Arabidopsis thaliana: one gene and its partner. The protein of the gene in region 2 purifies or fractionates together with the protein of the main gene of each other region. This does not show direct contact. Each region holds a gene or a part of one and is shown on either strand. Other genes may lie near its edges.

What was found.
Region 1: the proteins of NRPE7 (region 2) and NRPB8A fractionate together in Arabidopsis thaliana (co-fractionation; one large-scale study listed by BioGRID). This does not show direct contact.

What each region holds. Positions count from the first base shown.
Region 1 is NC_003070.9:20,252,632-20,257,191, forward strand, and holds NRPB8A (RNA polymerase Rpb8), read left to right. Parts: upstream 1-2,306; 5' UTR 2,307-2,413; intron 2,414-2,578; coding exon 2,579-2,657; intron 2,658-2,912; coding exon 2,913-3,070; intron 3,071-3,393; coding exon 3,394-3,485; intron 3,486-3,592; coding exon 3,593-3,704; 3' UTR 3,705-4,057; downstream 4,058-4,560. Other genes in the region: AT1G54240 (winged-helix DNA-binding transcription factor family protein), read left to right, coding at 457-503, 616-669, 766-822, 918-1,011, 1,254-1,337, 1,435-1,756, 1,832-1,863.
Region 2 is NC_003075.7:8,405,589-8,410,005, forward strand, and holds NRPE7 (RNA polymerase Rpb7-like, N-terminal domain-containing protein), read right to left. Parts: upstream 2,304-4,417; 5' UTR 2,123-2,303; exon of another isoform or gene 1,964-2,122; intron 1,457-1,963; 5' UTR 1,449-1,456; coding exon 912-1,448; 3' UTR 659-911; downstream 1-658. UniProt on the Arabidopsis thaliana protein: DNA-dependent RNA polymerase catalyzes the transcription of DNA into RNA using the four ribonucleoside triphosphates as substrates.

The DNA of each region.
Region 1 (4,560 bases), on a different chromosome or scaffold from region 2:
GGTTTAGGCCCTCTAAGAACTTGTAACGGCCCAATTAGATTGCTATATATTCACGATTGTGCAGTTGGAAATATTAAAACCAAAAAAAAAAAATAGAAAGGCGGGAAAGAGAGTTAGTTACATCGTCTTCTCCGGCGAGACAAGACGACTGCGATTGGATTTCTCTGAAGCGCAGGTATATAAGTGATAGATCACCATTGATACTCTTCAAGAAGATCCCATTCAATTCAAGCTTTATCGAGTAAGATCTTTATTTTATTCCATGGAAACCGATTTGAGATTTACACGAATGATCCAAATACGTCTCATATCATGCGATTTCAAGACGAAAATGGCGTAGTTTTATTCAATCGAAGGCAATTTTGAAGATATCAAAAAGATCGATGCTTCAATTGCTTGATCTCTAACGTGTCAGTTTCTTTCTTTTTGTTCAGCGACGATCCTTCTTCAGTGGCCATGGTTTCTGGAGATACAAAATCGGATGCGAACAACGTTACTTATGGGTTCGTGAACTTTTGTATTTCCCAAAGCCAATTTTGTGGAAATGAGAGAGATCGATCGATGCTTAAAGCTCTGCTTCAACTAATAATGTCAATTTCTTTCTCTTTTTTTCAGAGACCTTCCTTCTTCTCCAGCGGCTACGGATTCTTCAGAACCTTCTTCCTATGCGTTAGTGAATTTTATTGTATTCTTTAGAACCAATCTTTTAGAATTGATCTTTGCTTTTCTGGTTATGTTTTGATTGATTTGTTATCTCATTTTCAGTGAACAGCTTGAAAGGCTCATGATGATAGATTCAGAAGAAGACCGGGGTCCCTCTGGGTTTGTGACCTTCTCGATTCTTTAACCACCAATCTTTGTTTTCTCTGGTCTATCTATGTTTTGATATTACTCTTTTTTTGTTGGTTTTGTTTCAGGTTTACGACTGATGAATTGATCTTTCAGGCTTTAGAAACAGTCTACGAGAATCATAATGGTCTTGATGTCGATGCGATTTTCACTTTTATCAAGGTTAGGAGGATCTCTCTGTCTCTATAAGTATCTGTGTTTCATGGTCATATCTCATGAGTAGTGTATATTGGTTCTGAAATGTGAGTCAATAGCGGGATTACACAATGGAACATTAGGATCTGAAAATTTGACTTCATGTTCCATCCCCTAAAAGTCTTCCTTTTAAAGTCTTGGTTTTGTTGATTCCTCCGTTGTTCTTGATCAACTAACCATCATGTTCTTGTGGTTAATATAAATTGCAGGAAAGGAACGAGTTACAGGAAGATTTTAGGGAGCGGTTGGAAAACCAGCTGAGATATCTAGTTTCTGAAGGCCAAGTATACAAGGTAACTAGTTTTTCAGAGTTGCCTCACACTAATGTTAAGATTCAGTAGTTTTGTTTGATCAGTTCAGAAAAACGGAAAAAAAAACTTGTAAATGCAGGTAGGAAACCTCTACAAGATCCCCCGTGGTGTATTTGATACTCCAGTTGTGTCAGTAGGAGATTCAAATCAAAGAGAAACCATGGATCCAGAAGATTCCACGGGCACAAAGGCACAAGACACACCAAGTACTTGTGCTTCTTTCGCACCACCAACAACAGAAGTAGATCCTCGGATAATCGCATTAGCAAAAGAAGTCGCAGAGGCAGAACACTTGGAGTTGGAAGCAAAAGAGGCATACGAACTTGCAGATAAACACGCCCAGTTGCTAAAATTAGAAAGCAACATAACCTTGCAGTTAGCCGTAGAAATCCTTAATCGATGTAAGTAATGTCCACCTCTTAACCTTTTATCATCATCATCATCACTGACTTTTTCATTTGATTTGGTCCTTGCAGGTGCTAACGGTGAAAAGATTTTCCTGCTGTAAAAGCTTTGACCTTCTGGTCCGGTTCAAGGTGGATATATTCGATCACCGGTTTCTTTTTAGTGTTTTTGGTTTTGAGTAAAAAAAAGAGTGTAGATATGAAATGTGATTTCATTTGACTAACTAGTCATAGTTTGTTACTTTGTGGTTAAATGATTTTGGTTGTGAAGGCAACAGACTATTCTGTTAGTTTTTGTTAATACAAGTTTTTACAGATAATGCCAATCTTAAGAATTGAATAGGTTTTTCTAATACATAACATAAGAAAGAAAAAAAGAAAGTGTGTCATGGTGTCTTTAGCAAGTATTTTTAACGGTCGAGATTAATTTCAAATACTGATCAAGAAAGAAAAAAATTAGTTATGAGAATTACAATTTTATAATGGGCCTCATTGTAAGCCCATTATAAGCTTACATAGGACTTTTATGAGTTTTTGTTCTCAGTCTGTCCCTTTAATTGTTTTTTGGCTCTTCTATCGCCCATCGCTTGGGAGATTAAAGTCTGAACTTTTTGATCTCAAGCTTCTCCATCTCTCCCTCAACTCAAGCTCCTGGTTCGGAACTATTTACTTTCCTATGCGATTGGTTGTTTATAAGTTGATTTCAGAGTTCGGATTCTTGTACTCATTAGATGTCCATATAGGTCTTGTTTACTGGTTTAATTGGGGTTTTATCAAGGAAATAAAGAGTGTTTAGGGTTTGAATTTCCGTGTTTGCAGATGGCGAGCAATATCATCTTGTTCGAGGATATCTTCGTGGTCGATCAGTTAGACCCTGATGGCAAAAAGTTCGATAAAGGTATACACTTTATTAGCCTCACTCACGATTTCTAGTACTTCTCATGGCTTACATCGACGTTTGTTCATAGCTGTTTAGTTCATGTATGTATTGTGAATGAGTTCTTCCGTTTATCCTTTTTTGGTCTGAGTGTGTGGGTTTTGTGGAAAAATTTAACTTTTTAAGTTTTTAGTCTCCCCCAAGTTTTGTTCTGTCTTCAGATTGAGTGGCTTTCTCTTAAACCTACAATGATTTTTGTTGTGTTTGTGGTTACAGTTACTCGCGTTCAAGCTACGAGCCACAACTTGGAAATGTTTATGCATTTAGATGTTAATACAGAGGTTTATCCATTGGCTGTTGGTGATAAGTTCACACTTGCGTTGGCTCCTACGCTGAATCTCGATGGAACCCCTGATACCGGTTATTTTACTCCGGTAATAAACTCTACTGCTTTTTATTTAGTTGTTTTGTTTTGAGTATATACACAGTCTCTTGTTTGCTTGGCCAAATTTCCATGAATGGTAACTTTGAACCCGTATCTGGATTTTGTTAGGATATAACTGTTAATGCTGCTAAATGGTTGATATTATAACTCTGTTGGCTGATTCGAGAAGCCTGTCTATCTAGGAATAAGAGGAGACATGGAATTTTAACAAGCTTTAGTTCTTGAATCTTCAAGATCTAAATTTGAAAACCAAGAATGTGTATGCATATCTAAACATTAATCTTATCTAGTTTTCATCTCGATACATTACAGGGAGCAAAGAAAACACTTGCCGATAAGTATGAATACATAATGCACGGGAAGCTTTACAAGATCTCTGAGCGTGACGGCAAAACTCCAAAAGCGTAAGAATCCCATATAACCCCCCCATATCAAAATAATTCAATCCAATTCAACTCACATATCAAACCATCATGTTTTATTTTATTTTCTTTAAATTATGTGTTTCCAGAGAGCTATATGTTTCGTTTGGCGGCCTCCTGATGTTGCTTAAGGGAGATCCAGCTCACATTTCTCACTTCGAACTCGACCAGAGGCTCTTCCTACTCATGAGGAAGCTGTGAGGTGCCATTTTTTCGGATAAAAACTGAATTAATAGAGAGCTTGATCTAATGTTTAACTTTTACTACTTCAACTCTTGCAATTTTCATGAAGCAACTCTTGTGCAAAAGCAAGTTTTTCCGTTCCGTTTTAAATCCCATTCCACAAATTGACTGCTCCGGTCCGGTGAAATGTACTATTTGTAGCTCTAAGCTATTGATGAAGATAAGCAATTGAGACCAAGAACATAACAAAAAACACAGACAAAGACACAGTTTTTTTTTTGGTCAAGGACACAGTTTTGTTTCTTCTCTAACCAATTTTCACTACACTCTTATCTTCTAACAACAATATGAAGCAATAAAGCTCGAAAAATAGATTCTGAGCCAAAAATAGAGTGTTTTCTCTAATCCATGCTTGTGTTTTCTCTAGTCCATGTTTGTGTTCTTGCTTCTTTGAGACTGGGAGAATATATCTTGGACGGTCGAGATTAGTCTTAAAAATTCTGAACAGATCAAGATTTAATTTTAAATCTGTATAGTGGGCCATGTTTAGGCCCAATAAAAGCTTTTGATGAGGCCTTCTAAATGGTATATATTTCGACTTGAAGAGAAAGAAAAAACAACTAGAAAATCGGAAGAATAAATGGACGGTGGAAGAAGGAAGCCCTTCTCGCCGGACTAGCCAAGCACGGTTCCGGAAAATGGACAAGTATTTTAGACGATCCAGAGTTCGCGGCTCAACTTCTAGATCGCACAAACATTAACCTCAAGGTAATCGAAAATTCCCAAAATCCCATTCGTCTTCCATGGAAATCGATTTTTGAGATTTATTATGTGGAATTAGGTCGAAATTTGGGTATTAATGTTGTATTGTTTA
Region 2 (4,417 bases):
AGTTGAAAGTTTAGTTTGAAATTAACTATAAAAATATATAAAGCTTTCGTGGGCATGTTCTTGCAACTTGGCATGTTTTTCTTGATGACGTGGACCAAAAATAGTTTGATAAAATACATGCAATTACTATCTAATTGTTATCAAAGTGTTTTTCAGATACTTCTTTTTATCGAAATAAAATTGTTGGCTATTAGCTAAAGATATTAACTAAATAAATATTACTATTCGATTACCGAAGGAAAGGAGAGTCGGGCCAAGAACGAGTATTAACCAATCCTGTGTCATCCACAAATCCAAACATTGAAAATTTTTTATTTAGGGTTTTAGACCTGCCAAGCAATCACATTCTCATGTGATTCTCGTGGGCTTTCTTTCGTCTTCCCAAACTCAACGATTATTGGGTTGGGCTGTTAGACTTTGAATTGACATAGCGAGCAAAAGTAGCAATATTCAAAGCGGCACCGCTTCAATCGGCGCAGAAACAGTCACTGGCAAAAAAAAACTCATACGCCGCTTCGAAATCTGGAGACCTGTTGAAACTAGAGATTTCTCGATGGTGATGAGTGATGATTAATCCATAATCGTGCTCTGAGATTGGTTCGGTTAACTTTGGTTTGAAATATTTCTTATATATCCGGTTTGACTACGATTTCAGAGTCTAATTCCAATCTGAGCTTATCATATGGAAGAGACTCACAAGCAAGCAAAAATCATTACCAATACAAAAAACCTAAATTAGACCAATCTTTCCTCTTGAAGGTGAAGGATTTCATTACATTCAAAGATCAATGTTTTCATTATTTGCACAGCTAGAGAGTAGTTACTAGTTACTACCAAACATGAACTAAAGCCGAGTTATATAGACATAAGAGATTGCCCAAAAACGCCATCACATGAAGAGATCAAGCAGATCACTCTTCAGATAATGGTCCAAGATAGTCACCTTCCAAGCTAGCCAACGCCTGAAACTCCCTCTCTACTTCCATCCACTTTATCCCAATCACAACAACCCTCACTGTAGTCTCAACCTGAATCCTAGACGTCTTCTCATTCATGAAGATCGGGTTCTCTCCAGGGATATACTTGTAATCCGGCATCTTCGTGTAGGAGAGGTAAACATTCTCGATTGGACCACACCTCATGAAGACACCGTGCTTCAACACCTTGTGCACCACACCGTGAATTATCTCTCCTTTGAAGATCTTGAAAGTCATTCCGCTGAACATTACCGGGAACAAAACTTCACCGGTGTGCTCCCTGATTTTGCCTTCTCCAATCTTGTCCAAAGTTGTGACTGCCACGTAGTAGCCAAGCTCCTTGGTTGCTTTCTTGGAAGCAAACGCCTCTAGTAACTCTACTAGTATAGCTCTCTTCAACATCAGCCCTTTGGCATCCATGTTTTCAGCTGGAATCATCACGTTCCATGGTAATTGGACTTTGAGAAACATTGTTCAACCTTCAAAACCAAATCAAAGCAATGTCACATAGCTATCATCATTGATCCAGAGAATAGAAATACTTTACTATCATCACATTCTTCTCAAAGGAAAGATATGAGAAAGACTCTGGAAAAAATCAAAACTGAAAGATCACAGAGAAAGGAAAAGGAAGTAGACAGTAATTTCCAGGTTTTTCTCTGAAACGAACATCTAGGTTATACAAATCATCATCAGTAACCTAAAGTAATTCATCCATAAGATAAGATCAAAGTTTCTGTTTTTATAAGAATCTGGACACAATGTAGACATGCATTAGCAAAATACCAATTTCATAACTCTACAGTACTCAAAACAGAGATTCAGAAATTAGTTTCACATTACATATCTACTAAAACGAACACTAAACAAAAAAAAAAAAAGAGCTTTTCACTAAAAAGTATTTCTCACAGGCATTTAAACAAACACTACGCAGGCATGTAAGTAAACAAGTAAGAGTCCTCAAAATTCTATCAAAAGTTACCAACTTTAATAAACCCACAAAAGCTTTGTATTTGCATTTTACGATTAAGTACTCAGACCATCACTTTTTCCACATTTTCTCGAGCAACCCATGGACCAAGACCTTAAGACTGAAAATAGCTGAGAAATTGATTGAGAAAATCAACAGAATACTGAACCCATGCCTTTGTTTATAGATTCCTAAGATATCAAACGAAACGAGAATCGGCAATAGAGAGTGAAAACTGGTTTTGGAGAATCAACGATGCGAGAAGCGAGAGTTTGTTTTGTTGTTTCAAACTCTCTATCGACTGAGAAGTAACACTCGGAGACTTTCAATTTTGGTTTGTTTACATGTCGATGGGCTGAAAAGACCCATTATTACTGAGACTATATTATTATTGGCCCATTAGTATTCACTTTTTCTCTATTTTCTTTTAAATATATTTTCAGAAACTAATTAATTTTTCATTTTAAGATTACTAATTTCATATATTTAAAAACTTTGAAAATTTGATTCTCAAATATTTAAAATTAGATTAAACTTTTTAATCATATTCGAAAATATACTTTTTCTTCTCTAAATTGATAGAAAAATACAAATTAATATATATTTCCTTTTAATTATTTAATCTAATTAGATTAAAAAAATATCTCCATTGAAATCTGGTCGTCTGTCACGTGTTGTGATTATGTTTTTTTTTTACTCAAACATGCTTCTCATATTAAATAGGGATTAAAATCCCGGTATAATGCGTTTGTGATTACATTAGGAATGAGGTTGTAAAAATGCGACAAAGCATCAGATGGTATTCTATGTTTCGCTAAGATATCCGCCGCTTTGTTGTGATCTCTTCGAACCCAAGTAAACTGGCAGTCATTAAACTTGTCTCTCCAAATGCGTGCTTCCCTAATCCAATTAAAAATATTGAAATTGTGTTGCCGACCATGAAGCAGTTCCACCACTGTTTTGTTATCGCCTTCAAAACATACTCTTGTATATCCCTTAATCCAACAGCTTTGCATTGCAAGAATTAGTGCCTGAAATTCGCTTTCCATAGCTGTGTTTACATGTCTTCCTTTAGCTTGACCTGCACCTCTAAAGGTGCCTCTGTCGTCTCTAATCACCTATCCTGCACTAGCCGGTTGTCCGTTGATAAAGCTACCATCATAGTTGCATTTGATCCAGTTTGTATTCGGCTTCATCCAATGATATTCGCCTTGAAAACCAACGTTCTGAAATTGCGGAGGGTTCGTCATTCCCAAACTTCTTTCATCTTGATCATGCCATTCCTTTGCATCACTTCGAGCTTGTCGTATTACCTTTCGCCATGAAAAGTTCCTTTGTTGAAAGGTGAGGTTGTTTCGTGATATCCATAGTCTCCACAAGATCCAAAGAGGTAAGTGCTTAAGATGTGGCGTTCTTGTCCCCGTGTTACACTTGAGGATCTCTCTCAACTTTTCTTCCCATGGGGTCCGTGGGTCATAGAGTAACCTGTTTGATATTCCAGAGCCTCGCCAAACAGCTTTCGCATAGGTACAGTTGAAAAATAAATGCTCTGTTGTCTCTTCCTCCATACAACATCTTCGACACCTAAAGAAACGGCTAATGTGATTATGTTAATTACTCATTTTAAGAAACAAAGTTTTACTTAATAACCTTTTCCCCTTTTTAATAAGGTTTTCCCTTTTTTATGTAATTTTCTTATTTTCATTGAAGTGTATCCTTTTTAACTATATACTTTAATATAAACGTTTTACTTTTTTTGTCAAAAAATTGTATTTTTCATTTTTATGTTAGCATAGATCAAAATCTAATTAGAAGAAGTTCTTTACATGTATCAAAATCTCATCAATTGATTAACACATGTCATAAAAAAAGAGAAAGATGGAAGGTCATGATTTCTTCTAATCTCTTTTTTACTGTTTCTTTACATAAGATTCTTATCTTTGAATTTACTAAGTGTTTTGTATTTGGCAAAAAAAAAAACTAACTAACTCAAAATAAGAATTTACATTGAAAAAAAATAAGAATTAACATTTTTTCAATAAATATTTTACAAATCTCCGCTAGTTTCTTAGTTTCAACAATAAATAATAAATATAGATGAAATTTGATTGTTTTAAAGAATTAAATTTATTTCCTATAATTTATCACAACTTAGTTATTTGGATTTAGGGTTTCTAGTTTTTCAGAAATCAGAAATCAAAATTCATAAATTTTCGACGGTTAAGGTAATTTGATTCACATTTCAGCTTTACTAATGTGTAATTTCAAATTAGTAATTAAATTTTCTTGATGTCGACATACCAAAAAAAAAGAAGTAGATAAGTCAAATTATATAAGAAGGGAAACATATATATTACATTAACTAAATCAGAGAAAGTATTTTCTTTCCCAAATCCTAAAAGGTTTTTCTTGAATCTATCTTTTAAAAGAATCTAGATCATATTCGTTTATCTGCCCTGTTTCTCTGATA